Linked DNA regions of Neodiprion lecontei. The protein of the gene in region 3 binds, or shares a complex with, the protein of the main gene of each other region. Links are inferred from orthologs where the notes say so. Each region holds a gene or a part of one and is shown on either strand. Other genes may lie near its edges.

Evidence for each region.
Region 1: DNA-directed RNA polymerases I, II, and III subunit RPABC3 (region 3) and DNA-directed RNA polymerase I subunit RPA12 share a complex: the UniProt entries of both Homo sapiens proteins name them as parts of the pol I pre-initiation complex. The link is inferred for Neodiprion lecontei from reciprocal best matches to the Homo sapiens genes POLR2H and POLR1H.
Region 2: DNA-directed RNA polymerases I, II, and III subunit RPABC3 (region 3) and RNA polymerase I-specific transcription initiation factor RRN3 share a complex: the UniProt entries of both Homo sapiens proteins name them as parts of the pol I pre-initiation complex. The link is inferred for Neodiprion lecontei from reciprocal best matches to the Homo sapiens genes POLR2H and RRN3.

Annotation. Positions count from the first base shown.
Region 1 is NC_060261.1:29,554,935-29,564,572, forward strand, and holds DNA-directed RNA polymerase I subunit RPA12, read left to right. Parts: upstream 1-7,553; 5' UTR 7,554-7,749; coding exon 7,750-7,873; intron 7,874-7,955; exon of another isoform or gene 7,956-8,056; intron 8,057-8,063; exon of another isoform or gene 8,064-8,168; intron 8,169-8,407; coding exon 8,408-8,633; intron 8,634-8,738; coding exon 8,739-8,763; 3' UTR 8,764-8,956; downstream 8,957-9,638. Other genes in the region: uncharacterized protein LOC107225986, read right to left, coding at 2,910-3,131, 3,207-3,543, 3,611-3,630; uncharacterized protein LOC107225988, read right to left, coding at 4,915-5,127, 5,278-5,614, 6,197-6,273. UniProt on the Homo sapiens protein: Core component of RNA polymerase I (Pol I), a DNA-dependent RNA polymerase which synthesizes ribosomal RNA precursors using the four ribonucleoside triphosphates as substrates. Can mediate Pol I proofreading of the nascent RNA transcript.
Region 2 is NC_060266.1:452,796-464,560, reverse strand, and holds RNA polymerase I-specific transcription initiation factor RRN3, read right to left. Parts: upstream 9,226-11,765; 5' UTR 9,035-9,225; intron 8,642-9,034; coding exon 8,438-8,641; intron 8,340-8,437; coding exon 8,120-8,339; intron 8,030-8,119; coding exon 7,918-8,029; intron 7,839-7,917; coding exon 7,686-7,838; intron 7,164-7,685; coding exon 6,660-7,163; intron 6,508-6,659; coding exon 6,329-6,507; intron 6,252-6,328; coding exon 5,812-6,251; 3' UTR 5,591-5,811; downstream 1-5,590. Other genes in the region: diacylglycerol lipase-beta, read left to right, coding at 1,584-1,678, 1,791-2,003, 2,141-2,463, 2,756-2,899, 2,991-3,159, 3,293-3,416, 3,499-3,642, 3,725-3,836 and 5 more. UniProt on the Homo sapiens protein: Required for efficient transcription initiation by RNA polymerase I (Pol I). Required for the formation of the competent pre-initiation complex (PIC).
Region 3 is NC_060266.1:1,950,682-1,961,537, forward strand, and holds the start of DNA-directed RNA polymerases I, II, and III subunit RPABC3, read right to left. Parts: upstream 4,984-10,856; 5' UTR 4,969-4,983; coding exon 4,890-4,968; intron 2,963-4,889; coding exon 2,879-2,962; intron 2,091-2,878; exon of another isoform or gene 1,694-2,090; intron 1-1,693. Other genes in the region: protein UBASH3A homolog, read left to right, coding at 5,089-5,229, 6,430-6,635. UniProt on the Homo sapiens protein: DNA-dependent RNA polymerase catalyzes the transcription of DNA into RNA using the four ribonucleoside triphosphates as substrates.

The DNA.
Region 1 (9,638 bases), on a different chromosome or scaffold from region 3:
GATTTTTGCCTTCTCGCGTCGAGTTATAAATACAGAGAAATCTCAATGAAAGCTCATTTCTATAAGATTTATTGTAGTGCTGTATTCGTAGCTGTACCTGTTATTCTATATTATATACTGTCCTAAATTTTAAACACACAGCACAACAATGGCTGAAAGCACAATGGCAAGAAGAGAGGAGCAATTTGCATCCTAATAAATCTTTTCTTCTTCGTACGTAGCGGAGCGATGTCACGTCGGAGGATATGTACTAGTGGATCACTAGGTGGGGCACAGAACTGAAACATAATTGTGTTGAAAATCTTCAACATCTCTTACAGAAAGTAGGTACGTTGCCAGACCTTATACCTATACCAACAATGAATATTCGTAGAGGCTATATTCATAAATACTTACAAAAGTAAGCTAATATTTTACCCGCAATTGCTTATTACTGATAACTTGATATGATAATATTCCCTACCCGCCCCTCCCCGCATACATCTACTTCTACTCCTACTCTACTCCAACTCCTACTACTACGACTACTCCTATTCCTACTCCGACTTCTACCACTTCTACTTCAACTCCCACTACTCCTACTCCTGATCCTACTCCTACTCTAATGAATATAATAAAAATGTTATACTCACAGTGTACAAGTCCTCGTCATCCTCGTCCTCCTCCTCGCCCACCTCGATCACCCGCAACCACCGCGAACTACCTCGGGTTATACCTTGAATAGTAATGAATATTTTTAGTATAAGAACACATCAAAAACACTATTCAAGGATTAATATAAATAATTAATTAATCAATAATATGATGAATTTTATTATATAGGAAAATGTACCTGCCGAAAAATGTCGAAAACACAGGTTTTGTTTTTTGGCTGTAACTTAAGATGCGTTGATCGCAGCGTATTGGGACTGCGCCCAATCGTTTTCTCTCGCAAAATTATGTCGGAATAGTGCCACAATTAATTAATTTCAGAACTTTTCAAAATCGCGAAAATTTTCGCCGAAAATGCAAAGGGGTTAATCTTCCTTTTTTTTTGACCAAAAAACTTTTCGTCTTAGAATTGATTCGTATGACTCTTGTCCGACCAATTGGACCCCAAGGAACTCAGAAAACGCAGCAAGAGGAGCGTGAGATCAACAGGAGCGAAATTGCGATGGAAAATGTACCTGCCGAAAAATGTCGAAAATTCAGGTTTCCGTTTTTTGGCTGTAACTTAAGATGCGTTGATCGCAGCGTATTGGGACTGCGCCCAATCGTTTTCTCTCGCAAAATTACGTCGGAATAGCCCCACAATTAATTAATTCCACCACTTTTCAAAATCGCGAAAATTTTCGCCGAAAATGCAAAGGGGTTAGCCTCACGTTTTTCTTTGTTTTTGGAGCCAAAAATTTCTGGTCTTAGATTCGACTTGTATGACCCTGTCCCGACGAATTGGACCCTCAGGAACTTAGAAAACGCAGCGAAAAGAGCGTGGGATCTACACGAAAGAAGTAACGAAGTAACGATCCCTCTCGCAAAATTACGCCGGAATAGTGCATAAAAGAATCAATTCAGCACTTTTCAAAATCCCTTAAATTTTCGCCAAAAGATATGCTGTGTTCTGAAAACCGGGAACAAATTTTATGTCTTTCGCTAGGAACTCTCAATCCGTTGCTTGCAGCGTTTTTTGATTCTCCACAATCGATTCCTTTCGCAAAATTACGTCGTTAAAGTGCATCAAAGAATTTATTCCAGCACTTTCCAGAATCGCGAAAGCTTCCGCAAAAAATGCAAGCACGGAAATTTCGAAGGAACGATGAACAGCTAAAATATGACAAGTAAACAGATTTCCGTTTTTTGGCTCTAACTCGTGATCCATCGCTCGCATGCTCGCATTGCTCGTATCCGGATTGCCTGCAATCGATTGCACTTGCATACTCACGTCGATGTAGCGTAACGAAGAAAGAATTCAAGCATCAATTTCAACTAATAAAATTTCCAGAAAAATCAGAACGGGCCACCACTGTTTCTTTGTATGCCTGATTTACCTGTTTATAAAACCGTTGAAATTTCATTGTGTGTACCAAATAAATGAGGTCCATCAGCTGAATAAATCATTAGAATGCTTTTGTCTATACAACGATATAGACAGTCGTGCGAATTGTAAGAATGAAATTTTTCGCTAACCTGATTCTTTCAGTGGTGTACAAACTCTTTTCTGGTCAAACGGAATACCTATCGACGCAACAGTATTTCGTCAATGAAAAATCATCATTGATAATCATACAGATATTATCTTAAAATATTTTATATTTCTTCTCTACAGTTCGCTCCAATATAATATATGTTTATTTTTGGTTTCCTTTACATACCTATAATTCTGTAACTTGCGACTTCTGGTCTTTAAATATTGCGTGTATAATATTCATTCACAGGATTTACTGTGCCTAAATCATAGCGAAACGAGTGAAACAGTCAAGTTCGGTTCTGTACATGACTGAATCAACGATTCATCAACGATATGTTTATTGTAACACAGACCAAATTCATTCACACATGCAAGGATAATATAATAGTTGTCATGTTATCAATATTGATCACGTCAAAGATTTCACTGAGGAATTAACAATTTGTTATGGCGATCCCTTGAAATGAAACGTATAAACTTTATGTATACTGTAGGGCAATTTGATTCTATAAACAGTATGAGTTCCAATTGAAATTTAGTTTTCATTTTTGCACGCGAAGGTGAAAATCACCCAGTTGTGTACAATATTGAACCTCAGCATCGCAATTAAAAACTAAAACACTTGTGCATTTATCGTCTCGATTTATCCAACACGTGAAATTTCTCAGATTCGAAATCGCATTCATCTGATGTAGCGAATAAGGTAATTCTCATTTCAGTTAACGATCGTTTTGTGAGCAGCTCAAGTTGCAGCTGACTTTGTGGCCTTGATCCAATCAATCTCAAGAGCTGCCACACCTGGTTGATTCTCCGGGAGATACTGTCCGTTATCCACTTTCAATCCAACGTTGGTGATCGATGTTACATCCAGCGGATTCGTCTGCAACGACAGCTCCATCCCACGATGGTACGGCTTGAATTCAGCCAGGGGCAATCTCACTGTTGCAAACTCCTTCTCGGGGGCCTGCATTGAAAAATAAAGAAAGAACGAAAGTGTCGTGACCTTTTCCATTACCAATTGGGAGGCGCCGATAATTACCGCGAATATTTGACCGTAGACGGCAGAGTCTTTATCGAGCCCTTTGTGCCGGAGGAGCATTTTGTACTTGGTGTTGATTCCCTGGCCTCTGCAGCGTACGGTGATGCTGTTGAATTCCGAGAGATCAAAGCTGGTGTCACAGCGGACAGACGCGAATCCGGATCCGTTTGGCTGTGGGTTGAACAGGGTGAAAAGTATCGCTCGCTGGAACTGCTGCGTCTTCTGCGTAACCATCACCGCCTTCGACATACCGGATGGTTTCACGGTGTCCGAGTGTTCGGACCAACTTCCGGCCTGGTCTGAGCCTCGCGTGAAGTCGAACAAAATCTGCACCGTTCTGGGGAATAGCGATAACTTAGCGAAGCTGCGTCTCTTTAGAAATTTACCAAATTGGCAATGCTTACCCGGAGGCAGTGGCGACCATGTCATTTCCGGTGTCGTTTGATGATTTCCGAGAGACCGGGTGTCTCCTCGATCTCCTTGGAGTCCGGGTCGAAGTCGCAATGGTCTCTGAGCTGCTCGTCTTTTTACAGGCACGAGGCAGAAGTTCGCTGTGCGCTCTCGCTCTACTCCCCACAGAAGGGAGGAGCGGAGACGTTTTAGTAGGAATCGTGATTCTTGAACTGTGTGCCGTTTTGGGTGGAAAGAGGGTAGCGGGGTCTTTGCGTGTCGCGCTGACATTCAAAAGTCACGATAGATTCGTAGGCGGTATACGTCTCCAGGGAAGAGCTTTGCAACGACGATATTCACAGACAAATTCCCGGTGCTCGATTTTCTTATTAGCATAACAACGATTGATTTATTAAAACGGTTCATTAATCGCTGACGACGAAAATTCTCCACCACGGATTTAAGGGTAAAACAGAAATTACAGCTTGCAAGTTACGCGCGTGGTGAAACATTGTTGTTGCGAGATCATACGCTGTCACTTAATTAACTATAATTCGACAATGGGAATTGCTAGTAAACGTCAACCGCGGTGGATGATTGGATTCAATTCAACTATCTATCGCTCCTGAGGAGTTCCAAGCTTGACTTCCTTAGCTTGACGGAACCTCTGATCGACTGGGAAAAATTGTTTGATCAATTTTAACGTACTGGGTAGATAATATTTCGTCCTCAATTTAGCTTTCGCGTACTACGTGTGTGTTATAGGTACGTGTCAAACAATGTATGTCCGGTCGAGGATTCCGGCTCGTTTGAAAATAAGGTGAAGGTAAATTCTGAGGTACACGTGCGTTCACACGACGTCATTGTCATCAGGTTTTCACTGTATATACACATAACGCGACAGTTTTCGTATTTCAATAGATATTACTTGTCAGGATACATTTTGCCAAAAATGTATTTTAAAAAGTTTGCAGCGAAACAAAGTTGTTCTTTTTATTTCTACATGTAAAATAATGTTTGTGAAGAAAACGCGCTACAACTGTCGGTGATACGAAACAGTGTAGAATCTGATCGGGATTCCTCCTCGAGGACAGATTTTATTGATCAAACAGGTTTTCCAAGTATGCGTATTACGTATGTTGTTACAGTAGTTCGAACAGAAAATTGTCCTAAATGAGGTTTATATTTCGATTCTAGTAGTACAAAAATAGAGCTTTAATATTGGCATGCACTTTCTGGCTCGTATATTTTTCACATTATCAAGTGTTTATGTATCTCAAAAAATATTTATCGATTTCTTGTTAAGAGGAGTATCGTTTTATGACGAAACATCGATAGTGTTAACTTCAAGCGAAGAAACGCCACTTTGATGAATGGCTCCGTAAACACCCCCGTATACTTGTAACCCGAAGCTGGTGATATTTGTTATGTCCAGAGGTTTTGCGTTGGGAACAGCTTTGCCTCTGTAGTAAGCTGTGAAATTTGCCAGAGGCAAGGAAACCGTGGAAAATACTTCCGACGACATGGGGGCCTAAAAATCAGAAGGTAATTATTCAGCAAATAAGAGTGTAGAATTTTCCCTGAATAAATAAATTTACGGCTGAAATCTGGTCCCTGAAATACAATTCAAGAAATGATGAAAATCGTATGGCAATACGTATATTGCTGGTCGGTTATTTACCTCAAAGAATTGCTCGTAAGTTGGATAGGGCTCGTTGTTCTCGCCATCATGACGCAAAACAATTTTGTAGCCAGTACTGTTGCCCTGAGCTCTGCAGTTTATATGGATAGTGCTAAGCCCGACAAAATTCATGACCGTCTCGATTCTGACGCCTGCAAATGCTGCTCCATTTGACTGAGGGTTGAGAAGCGTGAATAATATTGCTCTTCGAAACTCTTGCGTTTCTTGCATTACAAACACTGCCTTTGATTTGCCGACAGTTCTAACCGTGTCTGATTGCTCCGTCCAATCGGAGACATTGTCTGACGATGTAAAATCGAACAATGAGAGACTGATGCTTTGTAAAAAATAAAAAACAAGACATTAGCAACTCGGAGAATTGTCTTTTTCAATAATAGCAAATATCATGATTGAAAATGATAAAAAACTAGGAGAAACATAGCGAGATTTGATGAACAGCTCGGTGCGATCGGAATGTGCGGCTATAATCTATCCACGACTATCTATCTACTCCAGAACCATCGGAAGGTAATTCGAAATCTATTTACTCCAGAGTGTATTTAATTTTTTCTTCTTCCGAAGTATCCCGCGCGTGTAACAAAAATCCTCTCAAGATGTTCTGGGCTTGAATGTTCGACAGTATGAAGGATTGGGGCTTCGAATGGAGCCTGTGATTTATGTACGAATCAAATATTTGGTAACAGTGATTTCAAATTTTTTTTAGATCAATTAATAATTAGCCACCATCTACAACTAGGCATTAATTACGCACATTGTCGATTGAAGATGATTGGTATGAAACAATGTTGTAACGAAACCTTCGCCTAATTCAATAATAAATATAAATTATATTCTAATTATGGGTCATACGCTAGATAAGAGATATGATAGACATGGAATGTGTGTAATAGTAGCTTACCTTTCGTCCTGTGAAGTGACAGCAGATCCCATGATTAGAAAAGTGCCTGTAATTATTAAGCAAGTGTTCAATGCCATCTCGGGCTGGTTTTTATGCGAAGAGATGGGAACTTATTTTTGGTAAATTAATCTCCGTCAGATAAAAACGCGAAAGCAAGATAAGGTAAGGGCCGAGTTGACCGCGTTGACAGACGAAATAAGACTGTGAAACTAACGACCAGTTGCTCCTTTCCCGGTACATTTACAACGAGAAATAATACCGGTAATCTACGACAGCCTGACTTGAGCAGCGATTTATATTTAGACTGCGAAGGATGTTACGCAACTAAGAAATCTATGTATGAGGTCAGCTGACGGGTTGTTATGTATATAATTCTAAGCGTCTATCTCCTATCTAATCGTGTTGTGTAGTTATACTTCTGTTTCTTGTTCACTTTGTGTCATTATCCGGTAATATTATTGTAATATCCCATTACTGGTATATCTGCATATCCTCAGGAACATTTACGACGTCGACTAAATTTCTAAAACCTCACGATCTACACGATGAAGATAAAATTTTTAATTGCCAATACCAGCAGCGGTTTGATATAAAGATACCGCGAACAAATTTTTCTGGTGCGTATGTCCCTCCTTACCGATACCCGATAAATAAAAATGAATTGGTCTATTCCACTATCATCAAATTTTTGTTTAAAATTAAACAGTGAAATTAATTGATTCTAATATGTATGATGTCACTGCATTTTACCTTATTCCACAATATCAGAGTTCCCTCATGACTATAATACGTCTGTGCTTCAAGATTGTTAAATCTTTTGCGAACGAATCACTCTTTTCCGACGCTAATTACTTCGTTGATTTATTGAACTTCATCACTACCGCCTGTCGGCTGCCTTTCCGAATTATCTACAAGGAAACGTTTAGTTTCTTCCTTGTACGCCGACGCAACAGGGATGAGCATGACGTGTTGAAGTAGTTTTCAGCCGCATGTTACTACGAAATTTGAAAAATATTCGTGGATCGATTTGATCGAAATTATACATATAATACATGCAAATATTAATACACTTATTAGCTCTCATGATAGATTATGATATGTTTTTGTAGATTCTAAAGGTGGTATTGGAGATTACGAACTCATGAAAGCATCGTTATCGTATTCGGACAAGTGAAAGAATACAATATAAGTATAACATATGTTATGTGAGACTCCTATACGAAAATTGGTATCATTGAATCTTCAATTATCTATTCACATATTCCATTTAATCTTATTTCATTTATCCTTTCAGAAATTTCACATCAGATATCTTAATTTTCGTGACGTCACAGGCAATTTGCAAAATATTTGGCTATTTTTCAGGGACTTACAAGTTGCGAAGAGCAACAAGTGTTCCATTGCGCCTGCGGCTATGCAACCAAAACGCATCAGTAATACAAGTTGCCATTTCACGGCGTTACGCAGGTTGTATATGACACTCGACAGTTTTGATCCTAACCTCAAAGTGTTGACGAGTCGACGACGAGCAAGCTACAAATAAGTAAGGAAAAATGTCAACCGTCACCTTCAAGACGGATCCCGGATTTTGCCCTGACTGCGGATCGATATTACCGCTGCTGGTAAATGTCGGCGGTGTTGCTTGCTACAGCTGTAAACGGAACTGGGGAATAGAAGGTTAGAAACAATTTCAACACTACTCTAGCACTAATCGTTGGAATCGCCACGAGGGTTGAAATTCACGTTCGCGTTGGATTACCTTAGGTTGGTTTAGACTAGGTTAATACGGTGGATATCCAATGTCGGATTCGAAATAGAAATATCTTGATCAACGCACCAGGCTAAATTCACGGGATCTCGTACTTACTTAAATTTCGGAGTAAATTCGTCCAATCTAACGGTGCACGATATTATTCAAATTCACGTGACGCACGACGATGGCGATTCGAGGGGTTCGAGTGCAAGCTCAAATATCCAAATTCCCTAGAACGTACCAGATGCAGAGAGAAACTAGATGGTATTTTGAATAAATCGAACAGTATAAACACCAGATAGAATTTTGATGTTGGATTAAAAAATTATTAAGCTGGTTTCCGATTGCAATCGCGGATCATGAACGTATAAAAAATCGGTTCCTTATTCGATTTAAATAATAATGTGTGTTTGTAATAATTTTACATTTATTTAAGTACGTTCGTTTTGCTCTTACAGTTTTCGGGGATATGGCAGTGTCGTACACCCTCAATTTCAACAGTAAGGACGCCTATGCTTCGTCGGCAAGGCAGGGAGAAGCCGCCGACGATGAAGACGAAGCCGAAGGTCCGGTCGTCGAAAGGAGGTGCCCTCAGTGTCAGAATGACAAGATGTCCTACGCAACGCTACAACTCAGGTCAGCCGATGAAGGGCAGACAGTTTTCTACACTTGCACCAAGTGCAGGTAAGTGATTTGAGTTTTGTTACTTAAAAATTTCGTATTCAATTATTGTTTACGGCATTCACACGCGTTAAACTTGTCACTCAACAGAAATTATTTTTCTTTCAGATTCAAGGAAACTGAGAACTCGTAAATTCTCGAATTACTTGCGAGGTGACCGTTGCGTATTAAGGTTTAGTTTATAGTTAATTATATATGTAATTTACGTTTCCTTGTACCCAATACGAACATCAATTTATACTCACCCACATGCCTCGTTTTATACACGAACAACAAATGTAGCGTTAATATTTTGACTTAATAAAAATATCATGCGTGTAATAAAACATAGAACTTTATTTATTTTACATTTAACAAATAATTAATAATGGGTATTACAAGCAATTGTTTATAATACTAAAGGGTTGTTTTTGTTTTTCTTATTTTTTTACTTATTCCTTCTCCCTTTTTTTCTTACTCTTATTCATTAAAGTTACTTTAACAATGCTCAGAGCACTTTTCGTACTTTAATTAAGTACCTCTTCTTGTATTTACAAGTTTGGGTAACGAGCTAAACTTCAACTATTACTATTATAGTTTATTTATTTTCTATGTAAATCTCACCCTTTTTTACGATAATGCTCAGTGGTCCTTTGTATAAAAACCTCAAATAGTTGACAACAATGAATTATTATCAATTATTATTATCATTTCTATTATTATTATTACTATTATTATTATTATTATTATTATTATTATTAGTAGTAGTAGTAGTAGTAGTAGTAGTAGTATTCACGGTAACGTATATTTTGATTAGATCGACATATAAAGTTTTGCAGCCGATCCAAAGTCGACGACTTTTTTTTATTTTTAGCCCATAGATATGCGGTTTTGTCGATCAGGACCATATAAGAATGAAAAAAAGTTAGATAGAATGAAAAAAGTAGTCAACGAGACAAATAGCTGCTAGAAAGTTTTCTCAGAATTGAAAAATGATTGTACATTACATAGCGTTCTTGTACATACGAA
Region 2 (11,765 bases), about 1.5 Mb from region 3:
TGTAAAGCATCAGGCGTATATTGAGATGAAATTGAAAATTATCATTTTGGCATAATGACATTAAATTCGTAATGTCATTAAATTGGTAATGACATTAAGTGTCATTATGCCGAAATGATAATCCAACACAATCTATAGTGCTACCAATTTAATTTGCGTCCGAAAAATTTCAAACGCGAAATAGCCGGTTTTTGAACTTTACTCGAAATAGCCGGTTATTCTACGCAACCGTCGTAATGATCACTGTACGTACAATTATACCTTTTACCTTCCTTTAATACTGCAACAGCAATTCAGGTAATATACAAGTAATTTCTGCTTGCACCATCATTTCTTATCACAGTAGGAAGGAAACAAAAAAAAAAAAAGGTTCAGAAGTTCTTTAAATTATAGGGTGCAAACAAAAATTGGTACTAGCCAAATGTCGTTGCAGTTTGCAGCAGCATATGCATACGGAGTCGTTATTTTATGGCCGTATCAGGCCCTAAAAACGATTTTTTCTTTGCTGGAAACTTGATTTTCAAGCCTTGACGAGAACCTACGGGCATCTGCCATACGTACAAATTCACATACACGCGCGGACACATGCGGTGCGTACCTCTTCGTTTTAACAAGCACACACTCCGCATCAGGATCAACAGACGCAATATAGGAATGATAGAGCGAACAGTTTGTACAGGTTGGAGCTTTCTCCGCGTTGCGCCAACTTTCACTATATTCCGTAATTTGGTACAGACGCACTTAGTACACAGCAGTCGCGGTTTTTACCATGTATCATACACACATATATGTATAAGTATCGTTAAAACGGTTTGACAAATTTTAAGGAAGAGACTGCTTCTTCATTTCAACGGCAGCCTCACTAAAAATCACGACGCGACGGTTGTCTTCGAACTTTACCCAGCTGCGGTGTAAATACGAGATCAAGCGCATTTCTCTGAATTATTTATTCATATAAGCAGTGATTTGTTGAAAGAATACGCAGGTGCAATTGGTGTGTCGATATCGAGCTACATGTGTGTATAAGCAATCATTTACGTCTACCTACAAGTCACAATTCGGCTTTGCGGTGTAGTGTGGTCGCGACGTAGTAATTAGTTAAACAAAGTGGAGAACCGTGGCGGTAAAATTTCACCGCTAAACTTACACGGGGCCGACAAATTTGAATATTTCGCATTAACGTACGTCGGCCAAAGAGCAACTCGGATTGTTTGCATTCCCTGTAAGTAATAATGTGCATGTCATTATGTAGAACCGGTTTTTAACGGGAGCGCGACGAGACAATGACAAGCATTTCTGTGATGATTTATTTATAATTCATGGAATTTTGCTGAAACGCAAAATGAAATCCTTCGCCGTAAATCCACCTTCCAACACTGCACTGCGGAAGAAGAGTTGGCGAAAAATCTGTGTGCCAGTAGCACGAAAAAATTTGTCTCCATTTCAAAGAATATCATTGACTGTTTACAGAATTCGAGTATTATAAAAACTGCATCAACGAAATTAGGAATATCAACGAGACCAGATTCAAATGGTAGTTCTGGATATTATTAAGAAAATGTAACTTTCTATTTTTTAGAAAAATGCCAGCCTTGAAATTATTTGGACGCAAGTGGTTAGCGGCTACTGACGATCTTGTATATCCCGGGCTATTCGAAATTTTCATTCGAATTATTTGGTAAGGCTTAAACGTCAATAGACATTTTCCAAATATTCCATAGAACCTGATTTACCTTGTGAATACTTAAAAATCCTCTAGACACGTGTCACAGCTTTGCCCATTCCCTCAGGTTAATCCTAATGACGATTGCGTGCATAAAATACTACGACGAGACTTGGAAATGCCGTACCGGTGGAGAATTAGTGCGTGTATTCCTAGCTGGGGAACTAACGCTCCTGAGCATAATCGCCACGCTGTTATTCGTCGTAGTAACCCACAGTTCGAAAGGGGCTATCACAGACACATACTCCCGTCGACTGGTCGAACCGCTCCTGACCGTCAAGTAAGCCACATAGGTCGCAGTTCTCAATCCCTCTCGCAGATCACCCGTCTTCCTTCAAGTATTTCCTCCCACCTATGGTCAACATGTTGTAGAATGAGTGTGGCTGAAAAACAGTAATACATACGTTGATGTTTCAGGGTACTCTTACTATTCCCCGAAGTAGTGTGGAACGTTCTAGGAACATTTTGGATATTCACTCGACACGTTGAATGTTCCGATGACAACTATACGATACCCGTCGTAGAAGGGCTGGTTCTGTTCCACTGGGTACTACTTGGCTTAACGATGCTAGGAATGGCTCTTGTGTTCGATCCTCTAGGATCTTTAGGCCTCAGAGATAAGACTTTACAAGATTTCGAGGAACATCGCAAAGTATCCAGCACGTGGATACGGAGGTTCAAATTTTTATGGTGGATGCAGCGAGACGAAAGTGCCGACGAAACGTTTCAACATGTTGCTGGTGAGACATAGGTACATATGGGTGAGGTTGTAATGTGATCGTTGTATGCGACGAAGCTTGCACCGATTTTGCGGAGCACCGATTATTAGAGATAGAGACTGCGTTATGTCATTTTAATGACATAAAAATCGAAGCTTATACTTCTCAAATTTCGCATAACATTGACATGCTTAGAAATGATTCGCATCTGGTCCGTTTCTGAGTAAAATAAGTCGGTTAGATATGTCAAATTACAGCGGCTTCATTTTTTCAACTTGAAAAAACGTAATTTCGTTTTCATCGTATGTATTAGGATTACTGAGCGCACTGTTTCGAGGCACAGATCTAGTTCCATCCGACGTTATGGCGGGCTGTATTCTGATGAGAGTAAGACAAAAGCGGGAGACTCTTGAATTGAGGCGGTTTCACATGTTAAATCGCCCAGTATATACTTCCGGTGAGATCAAGGCTTAAATAATATAATTTCTCTCATTCGATAGTATTCCTAATTGCTTCTATTCGATTAATTCTCTCCTAATTTGACGCAGATGCACGGGAAATTTTTCGTCTTGCACCGAGCTGGATGTCCCTAGAATGGGCTCAGCATTACATGCAGTTATCCGTAGCTTCTTACGCTTGGATATTTGTCATGTATCAGCATATGTGTACGGGCTGCTTCCGACTTGCCAAATACATGACTTGTTGCGCGTGTTTCAGGTATATTGAACTAAACTGTAAAACTACTGATTTCAGAAAGATGAAATTAAAAGTTTACTTATACAAGTTGCAGGGTGAACCTGACGTAACAAACTATCGCTAATCTTCGTTGTGACAACTTGGCTTGTTCTAGGCGGAAGCACAACGCGGTGATAGATGACAATTGCTGTTTGTGCAATCTTGCAGGTGTAAAATACTTGTCTCGACTATCAGAGGACGATATCTTATACGCATCGTTTCGGAACCATCTTTGCGAGGTGAATAGAAATGAAATGAACCAACAAACTGGAAAAAACATTTCTACGAAACTAACAGAATTTTTCTTCATCTTAACGACAGATACCTTTCTGCGTGGTTGCCGACCATAAAACTGCAAGTATCGTTATCGTGATTCGGGGATCGCTGTCTTTGCGTGATCTCTTTACCGATATTGCAGCAGCTTCCGATGTATTTGAAGCAGATGGCCTACCACCGGGTAGTATGGTACGTAAATTATGGCAAGTGAATCTTTTTCTTTGAAATTGGCACAATTTCGGCAAAAGTAACAATCAACGATTTATTACAGGCTCACAGAGGGATGATTATTGGTGCCAAGGTGCTATTGAAACAGCTCGATCAATCCAAGATTCTCACAAAAGCCTTTACCATGTACCCGCACTACAACCTCACGCTCACAGGTAATTGCGTACAACTTTCAAAAATGTATATCACACGGGTCTGAAATTTTCAAATATTTTCAAGGTCACAGTCTGGGTGCTGGATTATCCGTCCTCCTGGCCCTGCTGATTCGACCGCATTATCCGAATCTGCGAGTCTACGCGTTCTCAACACCAGGTGAGCGGATACCGTGGCAATTTCTTAAAACTTACACAAAGCGGATAGAGATGCTGTTAATTTGTTCCTGCACTACGAATGCGAATAATTTACCCCTAGTCATTTTCACACCAGAATACCGTCTAAAAAATTTTTATATACCTTTGACAAGTGCTTAATCGCAATTACCTCGTGTGTATGACAGCTGGATTACTTAGTCGAGAAGCTGCCAGGATCACCGAAGAATTTGTTTTCACAATAGGTCTTGGCGATGACCTCGTTATGAGACTCGGTGTAGACAGCATTGAAAATTTCAGGACTTCTTTACTTATTACCCTTCAGGCTTGCCGTTTACCCAAGGTAATCCGTATGCAATGTGATACTTCCATACGACATATGCCCCTACATCAATATCATTTGCGGCATGTCAGATTTATCGATGTATTGTGAAAAAGAAATACAAATGTTTCGCGCAGTAGTCATAAAAAAAATAGATTAAAGACTCACAATGATTTCAGTACAGAGTGGTCCTCAATGGTCTCGGTTATACTTTGTTCGGTATACCTGAGAGGGACCTCGAAAAGTTGTGGCAAAACGGTAACACAATTGGATCTATGCAAGGGCAACTTCCGCTCCTTTCCGATCCACCCACAAGACAGATGGTGAGTATAATTTAATAGCTCCTCTAGATCGTCATTAGATAGCAGCAGAAGTCTGAATTAGAATATAAAAACAATACATCAAGTGGTTATCAAATTCCTGTTTGACGCGTCTAATTTTTAAATGTAGCATTTTGGCAAATAATTATATTCTGGTGGTATTCCATTAACGAATCATATATCCGTTACCTTGAGTCATTCTCTAGTGCAATGCTCTTTCTTTTTTAAGGATGCAACGTTATTGGAACGCAATGTGGCTATGCGAAGGTACTCGAGCGTTCGATTATACACAGCTGGGCGTATACTTCATATTTCAAGGTTCAAATCAGCACTCAAGCAAAAAGACAGGTAATTCGCGAATTGAATATTTCACCTTTTAACGTCGTAACTATGTATGCTTTTTGATTGATAATAATCTTTCATTGATGCTAACTCAGAAAATTCACCTCTTTTGAGATTAATATTTCATTTGAGCTAAGATCCGATAACCAGCCTCGAGTGTATTACAGTGATGATAACGGAAGTGACAAATGTCGGTACGAAATGCGTTGGGCCCAAGCTGAAGACTTCATGGAGTTATCAGTGATGCCAAGGATGTTATTGGACCACCTGCCTGAAAACTTGGAGCATGCTCTGACTGTGTTACTTGGTCAGCAGGACGAGGCACCCGAGGACATTAGTATAGTGTAGTTCAATGGCGTTCAACCGCCAAAGTTCAGTATCACGATAAAGACTAACTGAAAATTGACCAAGAAAATCAGTATTTGTATATTTATACACATTACACGCAGAATTAAAAGATGTTCGAATCAATTTATACTGCTATCCAAATTATTGATCATTTGTAAAATTCATCTTTATGTACAAGATTACACATCAAGTTTACCACGCAATCAATTGAACTAAATCATCCCAATTCATTGCACAACGTACTGTACAGCTTGGTGTGCGACGCTTGATTAGAAATATTGCTAGGCGTTTAATGAATTTCTTAGAAAAATCTGTAGCATTTGGGATAAAATATTGAATGCGCACCAGTGATGTGTCCATATTTTAGTAGTTCCAATTATCAACAAATAAATAAAATACTTTTGTAATATAAAAAGATGGATAGGTACCATTTGTAGATATTTTATGACAAGACCTGAGACATTGCGAGTCCCTACATAGAATTGAATGTTCAGAGTTGTAAGAAACCAGGTGACGTTCCATAAGAGAAGACATCCATATGATTGCACGAGCTCGATAAAGGAATTGAGGTTTCATCCATAAAATCGTCATCGTCATTATCATCTCTGCAAGTGGTCAATGTTGATTCCTCATCGGAGACGCTGCCTTGATATACCATGTAAATCGAGGTAAATCTTGAGCCACTTCTCAGGAGAATGTAGGGGTCAAAAGGAAAGAAAGTATCCAGCCAAAGAGTGACACGATTGGTACTTTGAACGACGGGTAGATTACTCCGAGCATTGTGCTCGATTATTGTGTAACAGTAGGCCAGCTGGTAGGTGCGCGTTACAGCCGCAAAATTCCGCACTACTGCCGATTGGCAAACTTTTAATGGATTCAGTCGACAAGCTATAATCTTCGTCAGATTCAGGCTTTGAAGGAACAACAAGTCTGAAAAAATATAAAAGTTTGCAAGTGATGGCCATTGATGAAATTGAAATCTTTGAACTGAAATCATGTCTACTTACTTTTTCTAGTCTCGACGAGATGTTTGTGCCTGAAAGCAATGACGTAGAACATTGCCTGGCATACGGTATAAAATACCCCGTGCACCCTTACATCGCTATTGGCGCACTCGAGGCTATCTTGCGACGATATGTAACTGTGTATCCACATAGACATTTTCAATAACGTTGTTTTGATCATTCTGTAAAATTGAAATTTTTATTATTTAGGGTGCCTTGATAAGTAAATTTTAGAAATATCGCACTAGACATGTCAAGACTAGACCTGTGCAATTTTGAGGGATAAGTTTCGTAAAATAAATATAGAATTCACATTTATTAAAGATTGACATACTCAAGTTGAATAAATGTAGCTCTGGCGAGTAGACTGGCGATATAGGATACGGAAGATTGCCGTATAACAGGGGCAACGTTTGGGTCTGAGACTTTCTGCCACAGCCAATTTACAAAAGCTTCGGATACTGTCGGTTTAAAACTACAAATATAGAACATGATAAACTGTACGTGCTGACTGGCGTGCGTGGGCAATATTATTTGTTCAAACATCTTTAGGACATCGTGATAGAGACTTTTCAACGATTCCCAGTTGAGAATTCCCTGATTGTGGCAGCAGTTATATATATATGCAAGCACCTGCTCCATGCATACGTCCAACGTGTGCGCCACAGGATGTTTCATTTTTCGTATTTCCTTCTGTTTCTCATTTTTTATTGCATCACCCTGCACTTCGTCTAATGCGAATATGATCTGTGCCGCATCGTCACTTTCCTCCATATCTTCGTCATCTTCGCACTCGTCTATTTCCGATCGTGGCGCATAAACGTCCAAAACAATTAACCTGAAAACAAAACAGTACACACGTAGGTAATTAGATAATATATTCTCGTCATGGGGACAGCTTCTCTAAAACCACCTTCGCAATCTTCCTAAACTCGACTTGATCATACTTTAATGTCTTTGCTCCTTCAGAGCAAGAGAAGAATAGAAACTATTCTAGTCGTAACAGCATTCTCTTACATTTGTTTGCCAAAAAAAGTTTCTTACGATTGACTGAAATTGCCTGTCATATCTTTAATTTGTCCAGACTGAATATAAGTTTGAATTTAAGTCAAGGTTATCGATACACTCAAGGTCTATCGATACAATACAAGTAAAAAAATAACAATATTATGAATAAAAATACGTCCTGTAATAAAAGGTCATTTTCTAATCAAGTTTGATTTATATTTGGTTGATTAAGAAGAACAATCCCAAAAATATTTATAAAATAGGGATCGACCGATATTCACGATTAATTTATCTCCAGAACAATAGGTAATTCATATCGCGTCACGTTGCATCAAGGTCCGATTTCAAATACCTGTTGATTATCAGTGAAAGAATGTCAGATCTGAGATGTGGGGCATACTCCAGTATTTGAAGAAGGGCATATATGTAAATTTCATGTCTTTGCGTGTTGAGCCTCCAGTAAGGATAATTTGCTACAAGTGATTGTAACAAAACGTCGGTAGCCCTACAAATGAAACACAAGAGTTAGGAGGCATTATAAATAACTCGTCTGTCCGGTAGTGCATAAGAATTCATATTCTTACATGGGAATAATTTTCATAAGCATTCGCAGGACGTCATGCACATGCCTTAACGTTTGAAGATCCTGATTTTTTGATTTGGAAAATTCCCATTCCGTAGTATTGTCATCCTCTTCTGAAAATGAATAATGAGTTAGATGAAGAGGGTCGTTCAAGGTTGCAAATCAGTTATGGGTCAAGTCAGATACGTGACAGCTTGACTTACCAGATTTAAATCGATCTACTAGCTTGTCTATTATAAGCTTGGCATGATAGTTATGAGCAGATACTAGATCTTCGAGAAATCCTTTGTAGATTGTCGTTACTTGCAACGATCTGGTTGTCCAATTAAGCGTCAGCAGTGCCTCGATAAATAATCTATGTGACGGGCCAAGTAACGAGATACAAGCGTGTGTTTCTGTCAACAAATCTATCAACTCACTTTCCTGGAAACAATTGAGAGTTGTAAGACATGGCAAACAGATAGAAACTACGACTATGTTTAAAAGTATCTTTACTAAAAATTTAGTATAATGATACATACCCTAATTTCCGAGTCACGAATGGTACACACAAGATTTTCATATTGCTTATGACTTGTGCCACTTTCGAAGCTAAGCAATATATCCTTGAGATTTTTTGGAAGTTTGAATTGTACTCTGTTTGCCTGGTTTATAATTTTTGCTCTGATGCCTGGGCCTTTCAATATCGACGATACACTGCTGAGCCTTGACGAGGTCACAGACATCTGAAAATTTCCAGAATTGCCAATACTTGCAACAACCTGCGTTTATCATGCTCAGATACTTAGAAATTGACAACAATCGCCACCTTTACGAATAACTGAACGATCTCTAGTGTCAATTATATTAATGAAAAGATATTCCGAGGATACGAATTTTCTGATTCTCACAGCTTGGGCTGTCCTAGTGTCATGAAATACGCGAGCAAACATATGTAGGTATTATCATAAGATGAAGCAAGATGTTAACGACATAAGGTCCAAGTTATCGAATATTCGAAACCTGGAATTTGACGCTTGCAGACCAGACGGGTGAGCGACATTCGCGATCGCCATGTGATGGCTTGTGAGGTTAACGCCAATTTAATAACCGGTTCAAATTGTCGTTACGGTACTCACCTTTGGGCAGTTGTGAATGAAATTCTTTTTATCCAACAGGCTTGCTTGCACGTCGTATCGTTTCTTTTAAAAATTAAACGATTGCTCGATGAAACTGTATCACTATCTGTCCAAATCCGTACGAATTTGTGCACGAGGAGCATGCATCGCTACGAGCATCAAACACACACTGTTGGGAAGTGCAGACCCGCACATGACGGGCGGCGGAAACCGGAAACTGAGACAAATCAATTGAGGGTCTGGCAAACAGACTCCAGCTCAGAGTAGTTTTGGGTTTGATGCAGTATGAAATATAGTTTTTCGCGGTTTTTGAAAACATGTTTTAAACTACAATTATATAAACATATATAAGTATAGAAAAATATAACTATGAAGTTATCGGCGATATTCCTTTAGTGGTATGAAAATATGTACCAAACTCTAACTTCAGGGGGTGCCCTGGTCGATCGCGACGTGACGTATACTTATATACAAATATCAAAGTCCATATATCTCAAAAGCGAAACCGGGCTTAGCGGCCCCATTTTATGCACAACTCTGAAGAAACCCACTCCGCGCATTTTCATTTGACACAGAAATGTAAAAATGGCATAGATTCCACGAAACCGCAGTGGTAAATTCGCAGAATTCATACCATGAGGGTTCGCTATGCAATGGTATCACTTACCGGACTCTAAATCCCGTTTTATACAATTGAATACATACGAATAGTATAGGTAATAAGAATTGTTCTTCAATGAGGGAATAAGCAGCTGTATAAAAATCCAACAGTCTGTCTTTCTCCTTGTGAACTCCCGACAATCACAACTGACAAGTCTCCTGCAGTCGCAGGTGGTGTACAAAAATGCAGGGAATTGGAAATATGCGAGTACACAGGATTCTATTTTGATGAAGTCATGTATTATACATTTATTTTGGTATAACAAAGTCAGCTGAACCAGAAGTAATGGCACATGTTCGGTGTCATCTGCCTTGTATCCGGCACCTTTTTTGCTTCTCTCACCGTGGATGGCATTTATTCACTCGAGGGATTCCAACTTGAGTTCATCTCAATGGAGGTAATAGTCCGCTCATCCTGATGGATATCTGTTAAGAAAATTATATTAATACAGACTCTCTAGCGCAAAGTAAAGAATTATGAATTTTGTTAGAGAACGAGTGTACCTAATGCACTTCATTGACTAATTTTCGGCACGTGAACCGTCAAATATCAAGCATATATGTTTCTCGCGGCCTCGTTCTAATAATTTCATATCGAGAGCTGAACGACAACAAAAATCAGTCAATTTTGGAAAAGCATAGAATTAGAGATGAAAAAATGAAGAAAAAAAGTAAAAAATTGCCACCATTTCAATTAAATTTTACACGGAAATATCTGTACCCTAAACGAACCTGTGGCTTGTGGTTGGTGTGGTAGTACCATCCTGTTTATTCGCATTATTAACCACGCAATTTCCAGTAGCGCAATGTCGGAAGTGTAAGAAAACGACGGCATGACTCTAGCGCCAGAGTTCGTCAATTTGTAGCATTTCACAGTTTTCAGCCAATTTGAACTCTAAACGAACGCCAAAAGCCGTAGATAGCACGCAAGTAACGTAGTACAATACACTGTGTACTATTTATTGATTTCATGTAAATATGCGAATTATTATATAGAAAATTGATAATCAGCCGCTGAAGCAAATACTTGATAGGGGGCAAGTTCGATTAAATTGAAAATGCATGAATTACACACGGAGGTGTATATGTATGTATACAGTAGAAGGATACAGATGTGTACGTATGATGGCATAGAATTGCATGTATTCTAAAAACGGTATTAATGAAAAAATAAAGTGAAGGGCGCACGCGTCTCAACATACCTTTTCCCACTTCAAAGCCATCAGCTTTGGAACGGAAACGCAATCGCTTCACGCTATCCGGTTATTGGAGGATGATAAATCGCCAGAGTCTCTATCCGCATCTATCGGGCGCTTATAGGCAAGAGGAGACCGTTGTTTTTGCTCTCCATTTATAAGAAGATGTCGAGCGTCGCCCGTTGATATCCGGCTAATCCAGTTAAGCGCTCGCATCTACAGCCGGGCAACGCCAACGCTTCGTTTGCACTCTCGTTATTGCAGTATAAGTGGCCAGTTGATATCGAGCTAATCCAGCCATGCGTTCGCATAAACAAGCCACGCGTACAGACAAAGGTGACTGCAAATCGTGTTCTCTGGCAACCCAGGTCATTTTCCAATGGATTCGGACTAAACCGACAATTTTAGCAGTGTTTTTCAACAGCCACTTCATCGCTCGCATCCCAGGGCAACGCGTGGCCCGAGGCTAAGATCGATAACTTTGTATACCCAAAATTGGGATTCAATGGATTGCCTTTCTTGATTTCTATACTCCTTACATAATACACCCTAGGCACGATGTCACGATTCATGATTTAGATCGGGACGAGTTACATATTTTTTTCTACTCGTTTGAAATCTACCATGTAAAGAGCTGTGGGTGGGATACGTCGGATTTAATCATTTAAACAAATCAACGCCAATGTTGTCTCAAAAATCATTGGTTTTTTATCAATAATTTGGGCATTGTCTTTTCATCCAATGGCTCAGGGTATTAAAGAAGAACAATTTACAATTATTCGGCATGTGAAAATTCGATACAGCATTAAAGAATAAAAAATATACATGTATCGTAAAAACGGAAAACTGATTAAAACGAAATAAATACAACCGTG
Region 3 (10,856 bases):
AATTTCAGCGGAATTTACAATTACAAAGAAAGTACAAGGATCGAGTGAAATCTAAAACGGAAGAAAACGGAAGACGGCGTAAAAGAAAGTTGAAAAAAATAAATACAAACAATAAAAATTTATGAGAACCGGTACACCGCAGTTTTATCACAATCGTTATTATTTTTCTTTCGTTTCCTGTATTTTCTTTCCGTATTGTTTCTTTTCTCGATTCTCTTATTTCACCGCGAGTGCAGACGTAGGTGTGGTTCGCGTTTCGCGTATGTTCGATAAAACGGGAAGAGATTTGTGTATAAAGATTATTCAATATCCATGCACGGTAAGCAAAGTTACATTCGAACGATCAGCTGCGCAACATTGTATATAATGTAAACGTATATCGTGTGTAAGCGATTTTGTTGCGCGCGAAAATGACGGGCATTAATAATCACAATAACAACAGCAACAACAACAACAATAATAATAATAATGACTGAGACACGATCGTGATTTTGACGAAACAAACGAATATTATGAGAACAAGCACGTAATTTGTTGTAATCGACAAATGAGAATGAAAAATAAACATGAATAAATCATATATTACGTACAAATTTCACACATACACGCGGAACATGATTCAATTTTCAATCGAATTTTTATTACGTGTATAAAATTTTCAAATGCAAATCCTGCAACTTGAAATACGAAATTTTACAAAGTTACAGTATGTGATCTTGATTAAAAAAAAAAAAAAAAAATGTTCAATCTTCTCAGTTTTCAACTTTTAATTATTAACCATGAACTATAAAGCTCTAATTTTCAATTTCGAGAACAGTCGACATGAAATTTTGATCTCAACTTTCTAAAATCAATATTCATTTTTAACCCTAAATTCCCAATTTTCAACCACAAACCTCGCAAGCCTCGATTTTCAATAAATCAATAAATCAATTTCCAATGATACCCAATCATCGTCCGACCAGACGTCGATACAAACATCAAAGACGAGTGCTTTAGAATACGATAAATTGAAAGAATTACATTCCTCCGCTGCCTGTACACATAGATATAATATCAAGATAAGAGAAAAATAAAGAAATAAACATAGAATGATAATTAGTCAAAGAGGCTTAATAAAAACGATTATAAATTTCATAAAATAGAAATAGGCATACAATATACATATATAAATATATAGAAAGAGAAAGAGTACGTTGCAACGGTGTATTGTCGTCGGGCAGGTGGTTTTTCAGGTGCACCACCAGCAGCAGCAGCAGCAGCAGCAGAAGCAGCAGAATAGCAGAATCGCAGTATGTGAGCACAAATACGTGAACCCAAGGGACGCGAAAATTCGAAGCACACAATCGTCACCGGTAACAACAGCAACAGCAGGCAAAAGCGGCAACAGCAGCGCAAGGGTGGGGTAGAAAAACCAAGCAGCGACGATGAGTATCAGCAGCAGCAGCAGCAGCAACAGCAGCAGCAGCGAGGAGCGAAGCTGCGCCGATGGCGTCCGAGCCAGCACTCGACGTCGTTCTGAGCGCGGCGGTATGACCTTGGCATTGAACTTGATGGGGGGCGACGAGGAAGCGGCGGGGCGACGCAGTCGACGGTTCTCGGGGGTGGCGGCGGCGCGTGGCGGGGAGAACGAGAGACAGAGAGAGAGGGGGTTGGGAGTGCGGGGAAGTCGGGGAGGGACGGGGTGGGAGGATGGGAGGGAGGGGGAGGAAGAGGAAGAATCGGGGCGGGAGGAGAGGCTTGGGGGGGTGGGAGAGGAGGGATTGCGTCATGCCGCGCAAGCCTCGCAGCCCGCACGTCAATACAGCACGCAGGCCTGCCGGCCAAGCCTGCCTCGCTCGGCTTCACCATCGTCGGACGGCCTAGCCCACCATGGCTGCTACTACTGATGTACCACCACCACCACCACCACTGTAGTTTACACTGGCTGCCTCAGGTATCTCACGATCAGTGATACTTGTGTACGTACGTACGTGGGTACGGTCAATACGACGATGAAGATGAAGATGATGACGATGACGAAGGGAGGGTGTAATTGGTTGCCTGACAATTAATATTGGAATCGGAATTCCCCGAGATCATTGATTGTTGTAAGATTTTTGCAAAATTGTCGGCGTGAACGAGGATGATGTTGGTAACGTTAAGGTGAACGATTCATGTTCGGGGAAAATCAACGCTTCGCAATTTTAGGATTTTTTGAAATTTATTAAACCGTGATGAGGGGGGAAAAAACAGAAATCAAACATACTCGTATATTTCGAGAAGTCAACTTCTTGAACGTCATTCAGAAATTACAGGGTAATGATTTTTTTTTTTTTTCTTCACTGACGGTTTCTTGAAGTCAACGTTACTAACTTCAGTCTCGTTGGTGCGGACAGTTCTTTCTCTCTCTATCTACATGTATACCACTTGAACAGGCATTTCTCTGTACCTATCTATGCAAGTGCGCAATTGTTGAAGGTGGTGAGATAAAAAATATCGACGGTAAAACGAAATGATGAGAAAATAACAGTGAAACGATTTATTAAACTGGAACGCAATTTCACCCCTTTTGTCGGAACGATGATGATGATGATAAAGTTAAACTGCCGACGAAGAAATGGATACCCTTTAACGTCGGACAGATGAGAAAATTTCTATTGTACGTTAGGTTTGTATTTTGCAATAAAACAAAAAGCAGAAGAGAATGAGGAAGAAAAAAGAGGGTTGATGAGTCGTGGCTGCACAGGATTACAGTACGCGTTGCGTAATATCAGCGTCGTTATATGAGATCAAGAAGAAGCGGTTCTTTATTGGATTCGATTGAATGAAAATTGAATTATGCTACAGGCGAACTACACGCAGCACACATTCGGCAACATTCACAGATCCTACTCACCCAATTCCATCGGGTACAGCCAACTGTTGATGTCCAGTATAAGGTCCATCTTGAAGGACTCGGATTCGCAATGCAGCCTGGTAACTGAAACGAGAAAAACATAGTTGTACGATATGAGAATTCGAGTAGTGAAATGAAACAGGTTACACAGTGAGCGTAAATCGAAGGGTATTATAACAGGGTAGAATTATCTAGATCCTTTATTTCCGTCTCGTCGATAACTCGATGCGCAAACCGAAAAGTGCGGAACAACGAAGGGCGAGAAAAACCGACTCGACTTGTGCCGTAATTGATCTTCTACTGCTTGGAAAACGACGAAGAAGATGTAAGAAGATGAAGAACCTTGGTGTAGGTGTGTACTGTAGGTGGCGCTGCCCTTGACAGCTGTGACGCAACGGTTCGACCCCCACCACCAACCCCAGAAGACAACAAACGGGGTTGTGATACCCCAACTTGAAACTATGAGCGCCGCCGTCTCGTCAGGATAAAGAAGAAGAGATAGAATCCTGGATAGGGAAACGGAAGGGATAAAAAGTAGGGATAGTGTTACGAGAGAAAAATTAAACATCCCTCGGCGTTTCCTCACCCCCGACTGGCAACCTTCTGTAACGTTTTTCTTCATTTCTTTTCACCTCTCATCGATCTCTTCCACCAGCTACCGGGCAAGACGCAATAGCGGCGAAAAACGTTGGAAGGAAGAATGAACCGTACCGCGAGATAGAAAAATACTCTGGAAGCGGGTTGAAAGATGTTGAAAACCGAATGCGGATCTCGTAATTATAAATCGAATTAACGGTAAGAAACGGGCAGACTGGTCCGTTGATTTTTTTTTTTTCAGACGATGTCAAAATATCAGAAAAATGAATCGACGAATGAACGAACTCTTCGATTCATGTTCACAAGATTGTTCCCGAAAAAAATGAAGTGTTGGAATTGAAATCGATCTTCATTATTTTCTTCGCATTTTTATCCTTCTTATCGTGATATGGACAGATGATGGTCTGAAAACACTAAAGTCAAGGAGGAGGATTACAGCTGTCATGAGGCCTGTGAAACGAGTGTATAAAACTAACCTAACCTAACTTTACAAATTCAAACGAAAGAATTCGAGGCAGCCAAATCCAACAAAGAATCAAAGAAAAAAAGAAACGTGTATAATCGAACAGAGAAGAAAGAACGTTTCGATCGATTGCGACATCCAGGTAGTTGGGCACCTAGATACAGATGTCGTATCGGATCGGATCCGGGATCAAGCTGCGCCAGCTGGTACCGCGACACAACAGGGACAGAAATGACAGATCGATACAAGCGAGTAGTGGCGATAATCAAAAATCGCATGCCATGAGTACCCGAGGGTGCAATTTAATTTTGTTACAGTCACGTTCGTACGTCAAGTAAAAATCATTCTTCGTCAATTATCGAGATCAGAACCGGCGCAGTCCGCACTGAAAAATTAGTCCGAGGTATAAAAGTCGCGCGTAATCGATCCTCGGGTCCATCTTCTAGCTGAAAAAATTCACTATCCAGCCAAGCTGCGCGAGTGTAGAGATCAACGAGACTCGAAACACTTCGTTGGCATGATATTGTTGAACAAGTACCGTAACTAACAAACCAAAAGAAGAAAAAAAAAGCTCCAGAGTTCGACATGAAACGCGTACGGTGTGACATTGGTTTGATATGTTCATCGTAATTTCTCTGTCTTTCGTTTCGTTTCGATTTTGGTAGGATGTATTGGAACGATATGCATGAAGTGATATAGAGAGAGAATATCTTCTCCCCATCCATCTATAATCTATATCCCTGCCTCCCTGCCTGTCCCTGAAAAATTGGAAACCCTACCCCGTATCGAAGTTTGTGCCCCAGAGAGCCGCTAGCGAGGAAGAAGATCAGTCTGAATCGCGTCAAGTTGCATCCCTTATTTACAGTCTAGTACATATGTACACAGCGTATGTACCTAGCGGCCTGCACGGTTACCGTCGTACGTAACATAACATAACGTAACATGACTGACATAACCAACTCTCCTCCTCTCCGAACGTCGCACTACCACTCCGATGAGAGACTGTTTCGAAACTGTTCGCAGGGTTCATCCCTGTCCCTGACGAGCCCTGCTTTCCTGCGCCACGCCACCTCCCCCATCGTCAACCCCTGTGCCCTCGCACCCCGTTTCCACCTGACCCGCGGTGTGCAGCGAGGGAGGTGGAGGAGAGATGAGGAGGAATCGACCGACGAAAGGGGGGGGTGGGGGGGAGGGAGAGGAGTATAATGTAAGTGACGTACACCCCGTACACCCCCTACATCCCTCTTTTTTCATCAGCATCGTTTTGCAGTGCATCGGAATCTCCTGGAAGGTACGTTCAATGATTCCGAAAAATCGTTATCCCATCATTTGCAGCATACCGGTATACTATCATCTTCAATTCGGAGGAGAAGTTACGCCCGGGCGAGAAGTTACGCAGAGTAATGGATTGCATTTCTTACATTTCACATCTGGCAGCGTACGGGGTAGAGTTTTGTTATTCGTTTCTTATACATGCGACAATTCTCGTTGCTGGATGTTTTCGTAAGGCTGATATTTTTACTTCGTTTTCCGCGACGTGAATCACCGCTGCATCGGACACGTTTATTCATTTATACACATGAGCTTGGGTATATCCTACAAGCGGCTGTGCACGCAATATTCTAAGCTTCGCGATATATATAATATATATATGTATATATTTTTACATAAAAATACTTCATCTTTTTTCTTCGTGTGGGCAAACGCCTTGAAGCATTTCACAGAATCGTTCATGCACGCGGTTGCCTTTTCATACCGACATGTATAACGCGTGTATGTACAATATAAGCGGTTAAGTCGCGTTGTTGATTTCGCTGACCACAAATCGCTAAGGAATATATTCATGATGCATCGACAATAATACAACCAAGTTACGACCGTCGCGGACATGTGGTACGATCCTTTTTCGAACGTCTTAATCTCGATTGACGTGAAGTTGATTTACACCAGCCGATCAACTCGTGTCAAAACTCATAAATTTTATTCTTATTTAGTGAACAATATAAAGCATTAATCATTCCGCGAAGTTGTAACTACACGCTGCACCATCGCATGTTATTATTGTAAAAGCGGTATGTTTACTCTACGATAATCGACAAACGTAAACGTCTTAGGCGCTAATGAAAAAACCTCGACATTCATAAAGCATCGCTTTGAAATCTTCATCCATTTTCAGTCTTTACCCATATTTGACAATTAACCTGCAGGTAAAATCGATGCTAGGATTATTCAAGGTCACCGATCATTTTCCTCGTCCGAAATCCCTGTCGTCATTCTCGTACGTTATAAGTCCATGATGTTCAGTGAAAAAATCCGTAACAAGTCCGACGATATTTCCAGGACATTTTCGGCTTATCGAAGGACATTAAATATAGAATAATTCCAGGACACATGAAAAATTCAAGGACAGTTTCAAGGACTTTTGAACGAGAAGTCAAATTCAAGAAAATTTTCAGGTTTTTCAAGGGCATTAAAAATAGAACGTTTCCAGGACACGAGAAAAATTCAAGGGCAGTTTCAAGTACTTTTCAAGGACAAGTCAAATTCAAGGACGTTTCCAGGACCACCGGACGCGATGTATACCGACGCACTACTCTCGTGTATGAATATTCTGACCGCATCAGGTCCTGCAACCACCTCTGCAGAAACAAAACCACCACCAAGTTGTCCTGCGAGCACTGCTACATCCGGCACCAGGTAATGTGAAATAGAAACATCATCCTTTACCCCGTCATATGGTGTTCGGTACACGTTGCCTGTGACATTGGGTCTTTGGCATCTTACTCTTACTTGGGCTATTCCAAGTAGTTCAAAAATTCTGAAAAAAATTATGGATGTTCTTTGAGGCGTCTAGTCGAAGATCCAATAGTTAGATAACTCGATAATTCATTTGGTACAAAAACCGCGCGCCTTCTTGTATCCAAAATGTTGACATAACGAGAAATTATCACGCGAGTACCAAAGATCACATCCACGTGAGACATGGTAAAGGTTAAATTTGCTACGATGATTCTCTGGTCTTTGGGATTCCATCGCAGATTTGACGACACGGGTTTGCCCCGGGATCCATCCAGGAACGGGATGTTCTGGGGACCGGCTTACCGTGCATACGCGAAAACGCAGGCGCAGAAGCCCACCACCACCTTGGTGTCGACGATGCAGTCTATGACGATGGTGGTGGTGGAGCGGCAAGTCTTCCGAACTGCGCAGCGGCCGCCGCCGCCGCTATCGACCGCATCGTCGCCCGGCTCTATAAATACTATGGGCACCGAGCTGGTCCTCCGCCTCCGCCCCCGCCTCCGCCCCTCGAGGCCACTCTCAGCCCGACAGCCCCTCGGCGAGGCGTGTACGGATGGTCTTGGGGGGGTTTGTGTGCGCTCGTGACACTGACACGGCGAAGCTCCGCCGCCCCCGGGACGTGCGCGAAACGAGGGGCGGGAACCTTGACCTTCAAAAGAAGAGTTGGCGCCGTCCGGCGCTGCCGCCTGTGCAGCAGCTACACCACCCTTCCTTCACGCCAACCACCCCAGACTGGGTTATACGCGTGCTGCATTATTCCGTGTTATCCTTCCGTCTCGAACTTCACGTCGCGACTACGTCTCGTCCACGACCATTTCTCTCTCTCTTTCTCTCTTATTCTTTGGTCGAATGGAAGGTTCGAACAAGTACTGGATGAGGAAGGATTGAGGTAAACATATGGTGACGCTTTCTTGGCGATATTTTCCACGGTGTCCGGTGGTCCAGGAAATGTCCTTGAATTTTCCTTGCCCTCAAAAAGGCAACCTAACTTGAAAATATTCCATTTTTAATGTCCTTGAGTTTGTTACGGATTTTCTACCGTACCCCACGTTTTCAGCAATCGCAATTACGCTGCGTTACGTCACCTCTAACCTAAAATCTTTGGAACTCACCGGTACCTACACTGTCAGAATATTACGACGAATTTGAAAATGTTCAAAATCACTTGAAATGGTAATAAAGGAAGTTTGAGAAATCACTTTTCCTATCGTATGGGAAATTCTGTCAGATTCGCCAAGTGGCGCTGCGATCTGTGCCGCAATGTTAAACGTTTAATTTTTCACACCCGAGCAAAAATTCAGATAAAGCTGAAAGTGTGAAAAGCTCGATGATACAACGTATGCCAGAAAAACAGAGTATCGTTGCTGTGACATCATGATTTATACAGTTTCGTTCGTGTCTTTTCTCCTCCTTCAATTTCAATAACAAAACTCGGTTAGTTCGAAAACATCGGCAATCGGTGATGGAAAATTGCTCGATAATATGACGAATGTGAGAAATCTGTTGTTTTCCAACATTCGTGGAGATAATAATCTTCGCCTCTTCTATATTTTCAATATATAATATGCAGAATCTGTTTTGCCAAATAATTATTTGATTTTACAATCAACTCGGGGTGCAGTTTCTTCGCGGCATGAAACGGCGCCGTGAACGGATCTCATTCCAAGGTCGCGTCTTGGCATTAGTTTCACGCCGGCGGCGTGTAAATAAGGGGTTGGTTTTCAGGGACGCAGTTTCCGTCAGGCAACTGGCAACAACGCTGATGCAGTACGAGATACGTTACATGTACAATACGCAGTCGCAACCGTAGTCCACGTCACTCGTGCGAATCGCGCTCTGCGTAGTTTCCAATATACAGAGAAGTAGGTAGGTATAAGGTACATGGTGCCTCTATATATGGAGTATATATGTGTCCAGCCCCTAGCTGAGAGACGTGGTAGGCGTCCAAGCCCGACCTAACCCAACCTAGATATTAACAAATTCCCGAATTTTGTTAACATTGATAATTTCCATGATGTAATGACGTTTTAGCAACAGCGAGCCGGTATTTCTTTTCCCCCGTCTATAAATAAGGATTTAAGCGGATCACGGGATTTTAATCGCGTTTTAAATTCGACAACACGAATAAAAAAAAAAAGAAAGAAATAAAAAAAATATATCCGATTTCATAAATCCTATAAATTCTAATTTTAAATCTAAGCCTTAATCTCTGGCTCTAATTTCTATGTATACCGCTCTGTGTATATAATCTAGAAAATTTCATTAGGGGGGATTACCACTTCTGCTGGATGTTGGATAACGTGTAATAATATAATATCCGGTTCCATCGCGCTGATATACGCATGCGCTTGACGCGTAGCTGTGTATAAATTTTAGTCTGTAATGAGAGAATTCAAAGCTGCGAGAAATCACAAGTTCACTTAGTGAAGATAAAAAAAAAAAAAAAAAAAAAAAAAAACAACTGTTTCGAATATTGGACGTAATACTATTATCACCCTAATTTTTAAAACAATTTTCATAAGACCCAAAAATATGCGTACAATATTACATAATTTGCACGTATAATTTTATATCGTGAAATGTGTCATCGTAATATCAACAATATACATGTAAATATATCTGCACGAGACGTAATCTTATCTTATTACATTATCCCATGTCTCGTGAGAAGATACGCGACGTCAACAACAACACAAAATCGTCGTAGCGACGCGCGTTGCATGTTATAATATTTCAATGAAACCTCGATACGAGTTGTATGAAAGATTATTTTCTAATTCATTCGAAAACCTATTGCGTGGAAGGAAAATGGAAACGATTAATAATCGATGAATCGAAGAAAACGTCAGGAATCTGTGTTTTATATGTGTGGATGAACCGGCGTAATATGTCAAAAAACGGGAAATTTTGCGATCATGTATTATTTAGAAAGAAAGGATGCTTGGAAAAAGAAAGAAGTTAAATCGTTGGGTCGGATTTCAGAAGAGAGACACCGCATTGAAGATCACGGCGATGATTATGATGACGTCCGCGTCGGTGTGTAATTCAATCCGACATGTTACTTATGATCTTAATCGCGAGACGTGTTTAATTCGTAGGTTTTAGGTGTATTATGTTAGGTATGTTAGGTTATCCTACGCGCACATATTACCAGGTTGTGTTTATGTAATACGGTTTGAATAACAAGCCGAAGAAGAATCGACGAAACGAAGTATCAAGTATTCCCAAATCTTTTTCTTGCTCGCAAGAAAATCGAAATACATGGATCGTAAAGATACATTAATATATTCAACTTTTCATCCGCATGTTATTATGAACTTGATTGTAAGTGTTTTCCGTATTTGTGAGCGATATGTAATTCGGGGTGACCACAGATTTTTGGCAAATAAATGTCCGCGACATTTCCAAGTTTCCCAAGATCCAAGACCCGGTTTTTTTCCCCAGACGTTTTCCCAGTTCTAATAAGTTACTAATACCTAAATCGTTCAGATTATCAACTCTATATTCGGTTCGAATTCAATTCGGATTGAAGAAAAAAGTCAGTTTAAGCCAATTTGTTTTATCGACGAAAAAAAAGTAAACTTGTTACCTCAAAAAATCATTTCTAATTCCCATGATATCAAAACTGATGTTTACAGTTTTTTCCATTCACCAAATTAAAAATCCCCTGATAATTTCACCCTTTCCATGGTCCCTGTTAAATTGGCCCATACATTTCGAGGTTTTCCAGATTTTCCACCCCGTATTTTGTATATTAGACACCGATTGCTAGAGTAGATTAAATAAGATCAAGCCAGATTCATTTTCAATTGAATTCGATTTGTTCGTTATTTCCTTCTTTTCGTCGTCTTGCCCTGTTCTTCTCTACTTCCAGATGAAACTTATCGTCAATCTGCGGTACGTATACACCCACATTCGAGATGTTTGAAATTTGTTCAACGTCAAGTTAAAAAAAAATTATTCTCAGACGTGACCCGATTCAAACATCGTATTTCAGGAACGTAATTTTTGATTTAAGAAAAATTAAGCTCTAAAAATCGTAAGTTTTCTTTTTCTTTGCACAACTGTATCTTCGCTTAAAAATCATCCAGCCAAATTTGCCTTCCTCCGCATATTGAA